Linked DNA regions of Oryctolagus cuniculus. The protein of the gene in region 1 binds, or shares a complex with, the protein of each later gene. Links are inferred from orthologs where the notes say so. Each region holds a gene or a part of one and is shown on either strand. Other genes may lie near its edges.

The links.
Region 2: the proteins of KCNQ1 (region 1) and KCNE3 are in contact, whole or in part, in a cryo-EM structure (PDB 6V01), measured with the Homo sapiens proteins. The link is inferred for Oryctolagus cuniculus from reciprocal best matches to the Homo sapiens genes KCNQ1 and KCNE3. Residues at the interface, in NP_000209.2 of Homo sapiens: Arg116, Pro117, Thr118, Gly119, Trp120, Cys122, Phe123, His126, Phe127, Phe130, Leu134, Leu137, Ile138, Val141, Leu142, Ile145, Gln147, Tyr148, Arg181, Met238, Val241, Asp242, Gln244, Thr247, Lys362, Asn365, Ile368; in NP_005463.1 of Homo sapiens: Asp54, Asp55, Asn56, Ser57, Tyr58, Ile61, Met65, Phe68, Ala69, Val72, Gly73, Leu75, Ile76, Leu77, Tyr79, Thr80, Arg81, Ser82, Arg83, Val85, Lys87, Asp90.

What each region holds. Positions count from the first base shown.
Region 1 is NC_091432.1:1,056,174-1,059,965, forward strand, and holds part of KCNQ1 (potassium voltage-gated channel subfamily KQT member 1), read right to left. Parts: intron 3,106-3,792; coding exon 2,979-3,105; intron 2,580-2,978; coding exon 2,501-2,579; intron 1,982-2,500; coding exon 1,885-1,981; intron 1,424-1,884; coding exon 1,283-1,423; intron 1-1,282. UniProt on the Homo sapiens protein: Pore-forming subunit of the voltage-gated potassium (Kv) channel involved in the regulation of cardiomyocyte excitability and important in normal development and functions of myocardium, inner ear, stomach and colon.
Region 2 is NC_091432.1:65,697,136-65,701,703, reverse strand, and holds the start of KCNE3 (potassium voltage-gated channel subfamily E member 3), read left to right. Parts: upstream 1-1,758; 5' UTR 1,759-1,924; exon of another isoform or gene 1,925-1,928; intron 1,929-4,568. UniProt on the Homo sapiens protein: Ancillary protein that functions as a regulatory subunit of the voltage-gated potassium (Kv) channel complex composed of pore-forming and potassium-conducting alpha subunits and of regulatory beta subunits.

The DNA.
Region 1 (3,792 bases):
GGCGGATGTTTGCACAGGTGTGGGAGTGGGAGCGCCGCGGGCCGGGGGCCGGGAGCAGCCTCTGCTGCCCACAGCTCCAGCGGGCGGCCAGGGAGGCAGGCGGGGCCGTGCCAGGGCTGGGCCCCGCTTATCAGCCGCACTGTGGGCAGCTGCCCCCACGCTTCCTGCTGCTTCCAGGGCCCCCACTGCCCACCTTGCCCCAGGGTGGTCTTCTGGGTTGGGGCAACCTGGCCCCCACCCTGTGCAGGCCCTGCCATGTCCCTGCGACCATCCCCTGCCCAAACTGGCTCAGGCCCACTGCCCAGGGGCCTTCAGGGACTTGGGCGTCCACGGGGCAGGCAGAGGCCGAAAGCAGGACTTGCCCTAACCCGGGAGCTGTGTCAGCATGTCTTTGTCCTCCCAGAGCACGCTGGAAGCTTCCAGAAAACACGTTGACTTGGCCAACATCAAAAGCCCCCAGCGCATGCCTGGCTTTGTGGGGGGGGGGGGGCACAGGAGTAATGAGAGCACAGGCCAGCTCCCCGCCCTAGGTCCCTGAGAGCGAGCAGGGCCTGATGCCACCACACACCCCACAGTTCCCTCAAGGCTGGGTCCCCTGCCTGGCCTCCCACTCCCCCCTCACAGGGCCCAAGTGGGCCTGGAGACCAGCCTAGGGGAGGGGGAGAGAAGTATCCACGTCCTACCCCGGGTCTCCAGAGGTGGTGGCCCCTCAGCGGGGTGGTCTCAGGGGCTGGTTCCCCGAGTGCCTACAAAACCCTCAGCAGGGGGACCAGTGCAGCACAGCCCCTCCCCCTAAAGATGGCCGCCTAGCTCCTCCGTCCACACAGGACACTCGGGGCTCACGCGGGTCTGCGCCACACCTGAGGCTGGGTGACCCTGGCTTGGAGGCTGCCTGCAGGGCTCCCAGCTGCCCCAGGCAGCTGCAGCTCCGGAGCTCATAGGGCAGGACCCTGACTTCCCCGGCCAGGGCCTTGGAGACCCTTCCCCGCCCTTTCTCCCACCCTGTTTCCTGCCTGGCACCCTGGACCCAGATGCTGAGACACACAGGGCACGCAGCAGGCCCAGGCTCCACCATGCACACGCCAAGGCCCGGCTGGACTTCCTGGATGAAACACAAGCTGTCGGCAACCAGCCCAGAGCAGCCTGGGTGGCACGTGGGGCCTCGCACCCTTGGCTCCCAGGATGGATGTGAGGACAGAGAAACCTGAGGTCCAGGAGAGGAGACCGGTCAGCGAGGCCCCAAGCCTCAGGAAAGCAAAGCCCCAGCGCCGCGCCGACTCACCACCCCCCACCACAGTGCGTCCGCGTAGCTGCCGAACTCCACGCGGCCCGACTCGTTCACCGCGTCCTTCTCAGCCAGGTACACGAAGTAGGAGGAGAAGATGAGGCCGAGGAAGCCGATGTACAGGGTGGTGATCAGCTCCTGGGCGGGTAGAAACAGCACCTGAGCCCGGGCCCACAGGCTCCCCCGCAGAAATGGCTCCAGTGCCCCTCTGTGGTGCACACCCAGGTCAGACATCAGAATAAGCTGCTGGGCCCCTGGCCACCCTCCACCACCCTCCAGCCGTGTGCCTGGCCCTCTCCTCTGCTGTGAGAGAGCCGGAAGCTGACCAGTACCCAGCAGCCCCTGTGTGAGAGGAAGGCTGGACCTCGCCCCTGCTGTCCAGGACAGGTACAGCCTGAGCCTGCGGCGGCTGGACTAGGGGACGGGGGTGCAGACCCCACCTGCACGGCTTGCTCTGATGGGTCTGGTTTTTCACCGGCCCAATCATCTCTCATCCTCAGTTCAAAGGAAGGTGGGCCTGAGCCAGGCCTCGGCCGGGCCGGATCCCTGGTGCAGGGCCGCCACAGCGGTGTGGGCTGTGCTGCCGCACGGCCACCCACCTGGCGGTGGATGAAGACCACGGAGCCCAGGAGCCTCCAGGTGCCTCCCTGGCGGTCCACGTGCAGCATCCGCAGGATCTGGAGGAAACGGATGCCCCTGGGGAGGACACGCAGCAGGGCTGGGAAGGCCACGTCTGTCGGGAGGCCCCTTCCCACCAGCCCCCCACTCTGTGCACGGCATCTCCACGGAGACCCCTGCCCCCTGTGCCTGCCCCTCCCGGCCTCAGCCCCCCGTGCTGCCCGAGGCCCTCTCCGGCCTGGCTCTGATCCTCAGGTCCAGGCTGGAGGGCAGCTGTTCAAGCACACTCCTCTGGCCCCAAACTGCTCTCTGGGGGAGACCCAGGGCCACCCCAATTTACAGATGAGCAGGCTGTGTGCCAGTCAGCGAGTCCTAGGTCTCGTGGGCCCCGAGCCCCGGCCACCCCACCTGCCTGCATCACTGTGAACCCTGCCCCCAGCCTGCCGCTCAGCACTCTGGGACAGCGGGCACCCAGCCAAAGGAGCACATTGGAGAGGTGCGTGGAGGGCGAGGCCACCCCAACTTGGAGGGAGGAAGGGAGTAGGCAGCCCCTCCCCCCACAGCCGCAGGCCGTCAGCACCCAGGGCTCAGGCTTACCTGATGGCCGACGTGGCAAACACCTGCCCTTTGGAGCCCACGCACAGCACCACCATGGAGGCCACGACCACGATGAGGTCTTGGGGGAAGAGGGCGGCAGTCAGGACCACTGGCCAGCTGGGCCCAGGGGAAGGGGCTTGCCGGTCAGGAGCGGCAGGCCTAGCCCCCTGCTGCAGCTGTGTGTGAAATCCCTGGCTTCCATGAGGACCAGTTGTGAGGCCCACGAAGGGCCAGGGAACAAAGCTTCAGGCTCTGACCCTGATGACTGGGCTACCCAGGGCCACCAGCGTGCCATCCAGCTGAACCAGGCCAGAAAGGGGAGCCAGCCCCCCCAGACCTGTGGCCAGCAGCCCAGGGCCTTCCCGCCCCTGACAGGTAGAGAATGGGGTATCCCAGTGCTCGGGGCTCTCTGGCGGGGCCGGGCTGGGATACGGACGCTCCCCCTGGCCTGGAAACCCTGTGGGCAGGTGGGACTCACCGATGATGGAGATGGGCTTGCGGGCGAAGCGCAGCCGCCCCCAGAGGCCGACATACTTGCTGCGGCAGCCGGCAGACCAGAGCCGGACCACGTACTCGGTCCCGAAGAACACCACCAGGACGATCTCCTGCGGGACAGAGGGTGAGAGGGCGGGGCTGAGGCGGGGCTTGGATGGGGCCACGGCCCAGACACCCGATGGGGCTGCAGCTTTTCCGGCCAGGGGGCCAGGGGGCCAGAGGGCCAAGGGGCCAAGGGGCCAAGGGGCCAAGGGGCCAGGGGGCCAAGGGGCCAGGGGGCCAGGGGGCCAGGGGGCCAGGGGGCCAGGAGGCCAAGGGGCCAAGGGGCCAAGGGGCCAGGGGGCCAGGGGGCCAGGGGGCCAGGGGGCCAGGGGCAGCTCCGGTCCTCATTCCCCGGCCAGAGCCGACATAAGTGCTGCACCCCAGGGCTCAGGCGCCAAGCTGGGGTTGCAGGGCTGGCTCTGGTGGCACCACGCCCTGCCCAGCTCACACAGCCACTACAACCCCAGGAGCACGGGGCAGGCCCAACAGCAGCTAGGGAGTCACCCCACTGGGGCGCCCACTGTGCCCCCAGAAGGACTGATGGAGAGACAGCTGGACAGAGGACGGATGCAGGTGGCTAAGTGGACAGACGAGCAAGTGGCCAGGTGGGCACCTGGGTAGCTGGCTGACAGGGTGGATGCATGTGCGGGTAGCCAACCTGGTAGACAGGTGGGTGAGTGGACGCATGTGCGAGCAGGGGCATGGGTGGACAGTGGATGGTGCCATGAACAAGCTCGAAGGAGAGGCTGGGCCAT
Region 2 (4,568 bases), about 65 Mb from region 1:
AAAATGGAGTGGGTGTGGCTAAAAGCTAATTGCAGACCTCTTGCTTCTGTACATATTAGCTTTGCTTGCTAACGGCTAAGGGTGTATCTTGTGAAACTATGTGGGCCCAAATTCCCAGGAACTAGGTTGACAGAAATGTGTCCTTCACTGTTATCTTAAAATCATATCTGTTATTGGGTTTGTTATTGTTAACTGTTATCTTAACACCATATTCTGTTTTCTTTTTATTGTTCACTGCATACCAGGGGTTTGGTTCGAAATTATGAGCCCCAGTGGACAGAATACTATAAAAAGCTGTGTAACTCGCTGTTGGGGGCTGCACTCTGGTAAGGAGTGGCGGTCCTGACCGGTAGACTTGCCTCTCATTTTCAATAAAATTCATGGGTGACTGTCACTGGCTTTTGTAATATTCCAATTTAGCTGACGAGTGGATGCAATAAGGGAATGAACCAGCGGATGGAGGACCTCTCTCTCTCTCTCTGCCTCTGCCTCTCTGTGACTCTGCCTTCCAAATAAAATAAATAAATCTTAAAAAAAATAAAAATAAAAAAAGAAACCATCCCACAAAGTCAACACAAGGCCCAAGGGCAGGATCTGGGAAGGAAGGCAGGCTGAGCAACCCTTTGCATCAGAGGCTTTGGGGAATCAGTCCTGTTAATTGTGTCAAATGCTCCGCCCCAGAGCCGCCTGCAAGTCGGGACTGCTCACCTCGCGTCAGATGACTTCTCTGAGGAAGAGGCACAGCAGGGTCCAACGCATAGCACAGAAGTAAGGAGTTCTGTACAAAACGCCCATCACGCGGCAGGTCTCTGAAAAGGCAGCCCCCCTGAGAGTCTAGATTCTGAGATGGAGGGTTCCGGCCCCCGATATCCTGGAGCCGGTTTTGGTTGGCAGGGTTGAGAGCTGGTCCGGGTTTGTTATTGGTCACTGGGAGGTGAGGCTGGAGGCTGCCAGGGGGCTTTGGTAGAGCCCGGACAGCCCACTGCTGGCCATTCCCCTGCCCCCAGCCTCCTGGCCCTGGTTTCCCAGCTGTGGCAGGCTGCTTGTCTTCTGCAGCCTGCAATGTCACCAGCAAGGAAGCAACCATGGGCGTGAGGACCTGGCGGCGGAAACGCCAAGCGTGTTCTGGGGTAGCGAGCACTAAGCTGTGACCTCAAACAGGGCCACCAGTCCCCCGTGTGCTGGAGCTTAGGAGGGCGCTGTGGGTGCATTCTGAGTCTGATCTCGGCCACCAACTTGGTTAGTGAGAGCCTGCAAGTCCCTTCCCGCCTCTGAGCCTCTGCAATCGCCTGGAAAAGAGCTTTTCGGTGTTGGACTCAGGGGTCGCTAAGCTTTCGGGCTCTAAGGTCTCCTCTGACCCCAGCCATAGGCCTGGGAAGCAAGTGTGTGTGGGACTGGCCCCATCTCACAGCGAGGAAGCCAAGGGCCAGTGAGGGGGCAGTGACTTGCCCACGGCCGCACAGGCACAGCCACAGCCGAGAGACAGCAGAGCTAAGTCTGATCCCACCGCCCCCAGCGCTCAGCCTTCTTGGGGAGATCAGCCTCAGGCCGCTCTGGCTCAGCCCAAGCGGGAGCCAGGAGCCTTGGGTCTCAGGTCCAGGAAGCAGGCGCTGCAGGGGACGGAAGGGAGCCCACAGCAGGGTGAGGCCGGAGAGCTGGGCGGAGGCGTTCAAAGCCAGCCCGGGAGCAGTGGGTGTGTTGGGGGCCGGGCAGGGCCGAGGAGGGGACGCCCTCAGGGAGAGAAAAGGGAGCGGAGAGCGGGTGGGAGCGCAGAGCCCCGAGGGCACGGGGCGGTGTTGGGCGCCCGGGGCAGCGCTCCGGGGCCGGCAAGGCGCAGAGGCGTGCAGTGCCCGGGCAACCCCGAGCAGGGGGCGCAGTGTCCACCCAGCAGGCGGGGCGCCCGCCTCGCAGCCTTTGCAGAGAGGTAGGTAAGGCGCACCCGCAGGGGTGGGAAGGCTGGCGAATGCGGGGTTTTCCCACCTTCTTTCCGAGGGCCAAGCGCCTTCTCCTGGAACCTGCGACCAGAGCTGGGGGCTGCTCAACTACGGAGCCCACGCCTCCCGGGCGAGCGCCCGGACCCAGGGCGGGCGGCACAGGCAGTGGAGGGGCGGAGAGGCTGGGGCCCTTGCACGCCCAGTCGGGAAATCATCGGAGCTTGAGCCGGTGCTCGCGGGCTCTGGCATAACCACACAGAAGTGCCTGCACGCCCATTGGCACGCAAGCGAACACCTGTCCCTGTGCGCTGAGAGTGCGCACGCGGAAATGACCCTCGGGGGCCCCCGCGCCGGCTTCTTGCTGCGCAGAGCCGATGGCTCTGCCGAGTTCACTTCCCCGCACCCGGTCCGACCCAGTCTCAGGAAAACCGCCGGACTCCCAAAGGCATCCCTTGCTCTTGGCAACACAGGCCTGGCTGGGGGTCCGGAGGACGGGTTCAGGTTTACAGGCTGCAAACCCAAGCCAGCCGCCCGCCCGTTCTCGCCTTGGGCTTCCCTTTCCTGCGAAATGGGCGTCCTGCTCCTGCTCCCCCACAGGGCCCCATGCGACCCGGGAGTCCCTAGTTGGAGAATACATGAGTGCAGCCCTTCGGTGAGTATCTGCTCCTAATCCCCCTCGCTATTCCATCAATTTCCATAGGGGGCCACTGAGGCCCGGGGGGGCACCAGGGACAGACAGAATTAGAGCCCAGGGTCTTACTTGTAGCCCGGGGCTGTCTCCTCTTCAGGGGTGCTGTAAATGTCCAAGGCCTCACCCCTTCCTGGTGTGCAGCCGTAGCCAACTGCAGGAGACCAACGAGGCTCTCCATCCCTACCTCCCTCCATGCGTTTCCAAGCACGTTTCTATCCAGAAGCCTCATATGTGGGAGCTCAAAATGCCTCCTAAGAGGGCGCAAGCTAAACCCCATGTTACTGATGAGGAAGAACAAGGCTCAGGGTGCAGAAATGGCTTCACCAGGACACACGCTGGATGCCCTGGCCAAACAGGGTGGAGAGGCAGCTCCAGTGCTCTGTATTGTGCAGGCCTTGGGACCACAGAGGGTGCCCCTACATGGTGAGAAACCTTGGGGATGGACAGAGAGGGCGGGCCACAGGCAGGTGCTGAAGAAGGTAAGCGTTTCCAAAAACCGAGAAAAACGCCAAGACCCTCAGCCCTCCACCCCGACCCTGCCTTTTTCTGAGGATAAGGAGAGCCTGGGTGGGGAGGGGGCACTTAAGAATGTTCTCGGTAGTGTGGGGGTGGGGAGGATGAGACAGAGAGGGCAGTAGTGGGGGCAGCCTGCCCAATCATTCTCTTACATAGCACGTCCGCACCTGTGGTTTCTTCCAGTTCTTGCCTGAGATAAGCAGCACAGGGGTAATTATCCCCGTCTCAGGGTGAGGTTCAGAGGGACTGAATGCAGGGCTCAAGGTCACGCACCTAGCGTGCAGCCAAGACTGGAGTTGTGAACGGCACCGCCGAAAGGCAGGATCACAGGCTAAGGGAATTGGACCGAGTGCATTTGGCAAGCCACACCCTGGGCAGGTACTTAGGGAAGAGGGTTACAAAGCCATTGCTGGAGTTTTGGGCCAAAAATGTTTGCCCTTTGGATTAAATGGGGCGCAGGTGCAGGAAGCGTCTGGGCTCCCCAAGGCGGTGTAGACTTCCTCCTCGCCTAACCCTCCCCACCTGAGCAAGGCGGCTGCTTTTCTTTGAGCCTCCCTTTCCAGACCAAATAGAATCTGCCCTGAGGTTGCTTTAAAAAAAAAAAAAAACAGTGTTGTGGGCTGTTCTCATGACTGTATGTGCACGCACTGCAGGAGGCAGCGCTGATCCATTCATTCTTGGGTGTTTTATATGTGCTCAGGCCTGGAGAATAAAGAAATGTGTGAAGCACAGGTCATAGTCCTGAGGCCTCGGACACACAGTTTAATAGGCATATGTGTACCCACGCTCATGCGCACACAAACGTATACATGCACAATGTCAATACAGCACACTGCTTTAATAGGATTTTGTGCAAAGCACTTTGGGATAGACAAGGGGGAGAGACCAGCTTGGCAGGGAGTGTGGAGGAGAGTGGCTCAAGGGGGAGGTGTGCGGAAGTGACGCTGGAACTTGGTCTTGGAAGGAGCAGGAGTTGGCTGGGAAGATAAAGAGTGGAAGGGAATGATCGCCTTTGCCTGAGCAAAGGCAGGAGGTGTGTGAGTGTGAGGTGTGGCTGGAGAGTGGCCTGTAGCTCAGAGTCCTGGGGAGAGCTGTAGAGAGCCAGGGCCAGTGGCCGAGCACAGCTAAAGGAGTCTGGATGACAATGAGAGGAGTTTAGACCTCACTCTGCAGGCAGCAGGGAGCTGACAGTAGAAGGGGACACCTGGTTTCTGGTCCTAGGCTGCAGCTGTGAGCCCGTGAGCAAGTGATTGCTCCGGGTGGAAGTGGTCTCTGTTTTCTACTGCTCGAATGAAGGGGCTGCACCAACCACGTGATCACCAAGTTCCCTTCCAGCTCAGGGTCTGTTCCCGTGTCTCCCTCCACGCAGATGTCCCGGCCTGCACCTTCGGCCCCTCTCCCACCGCAGCAGTCCGCCAGCCCGCAGT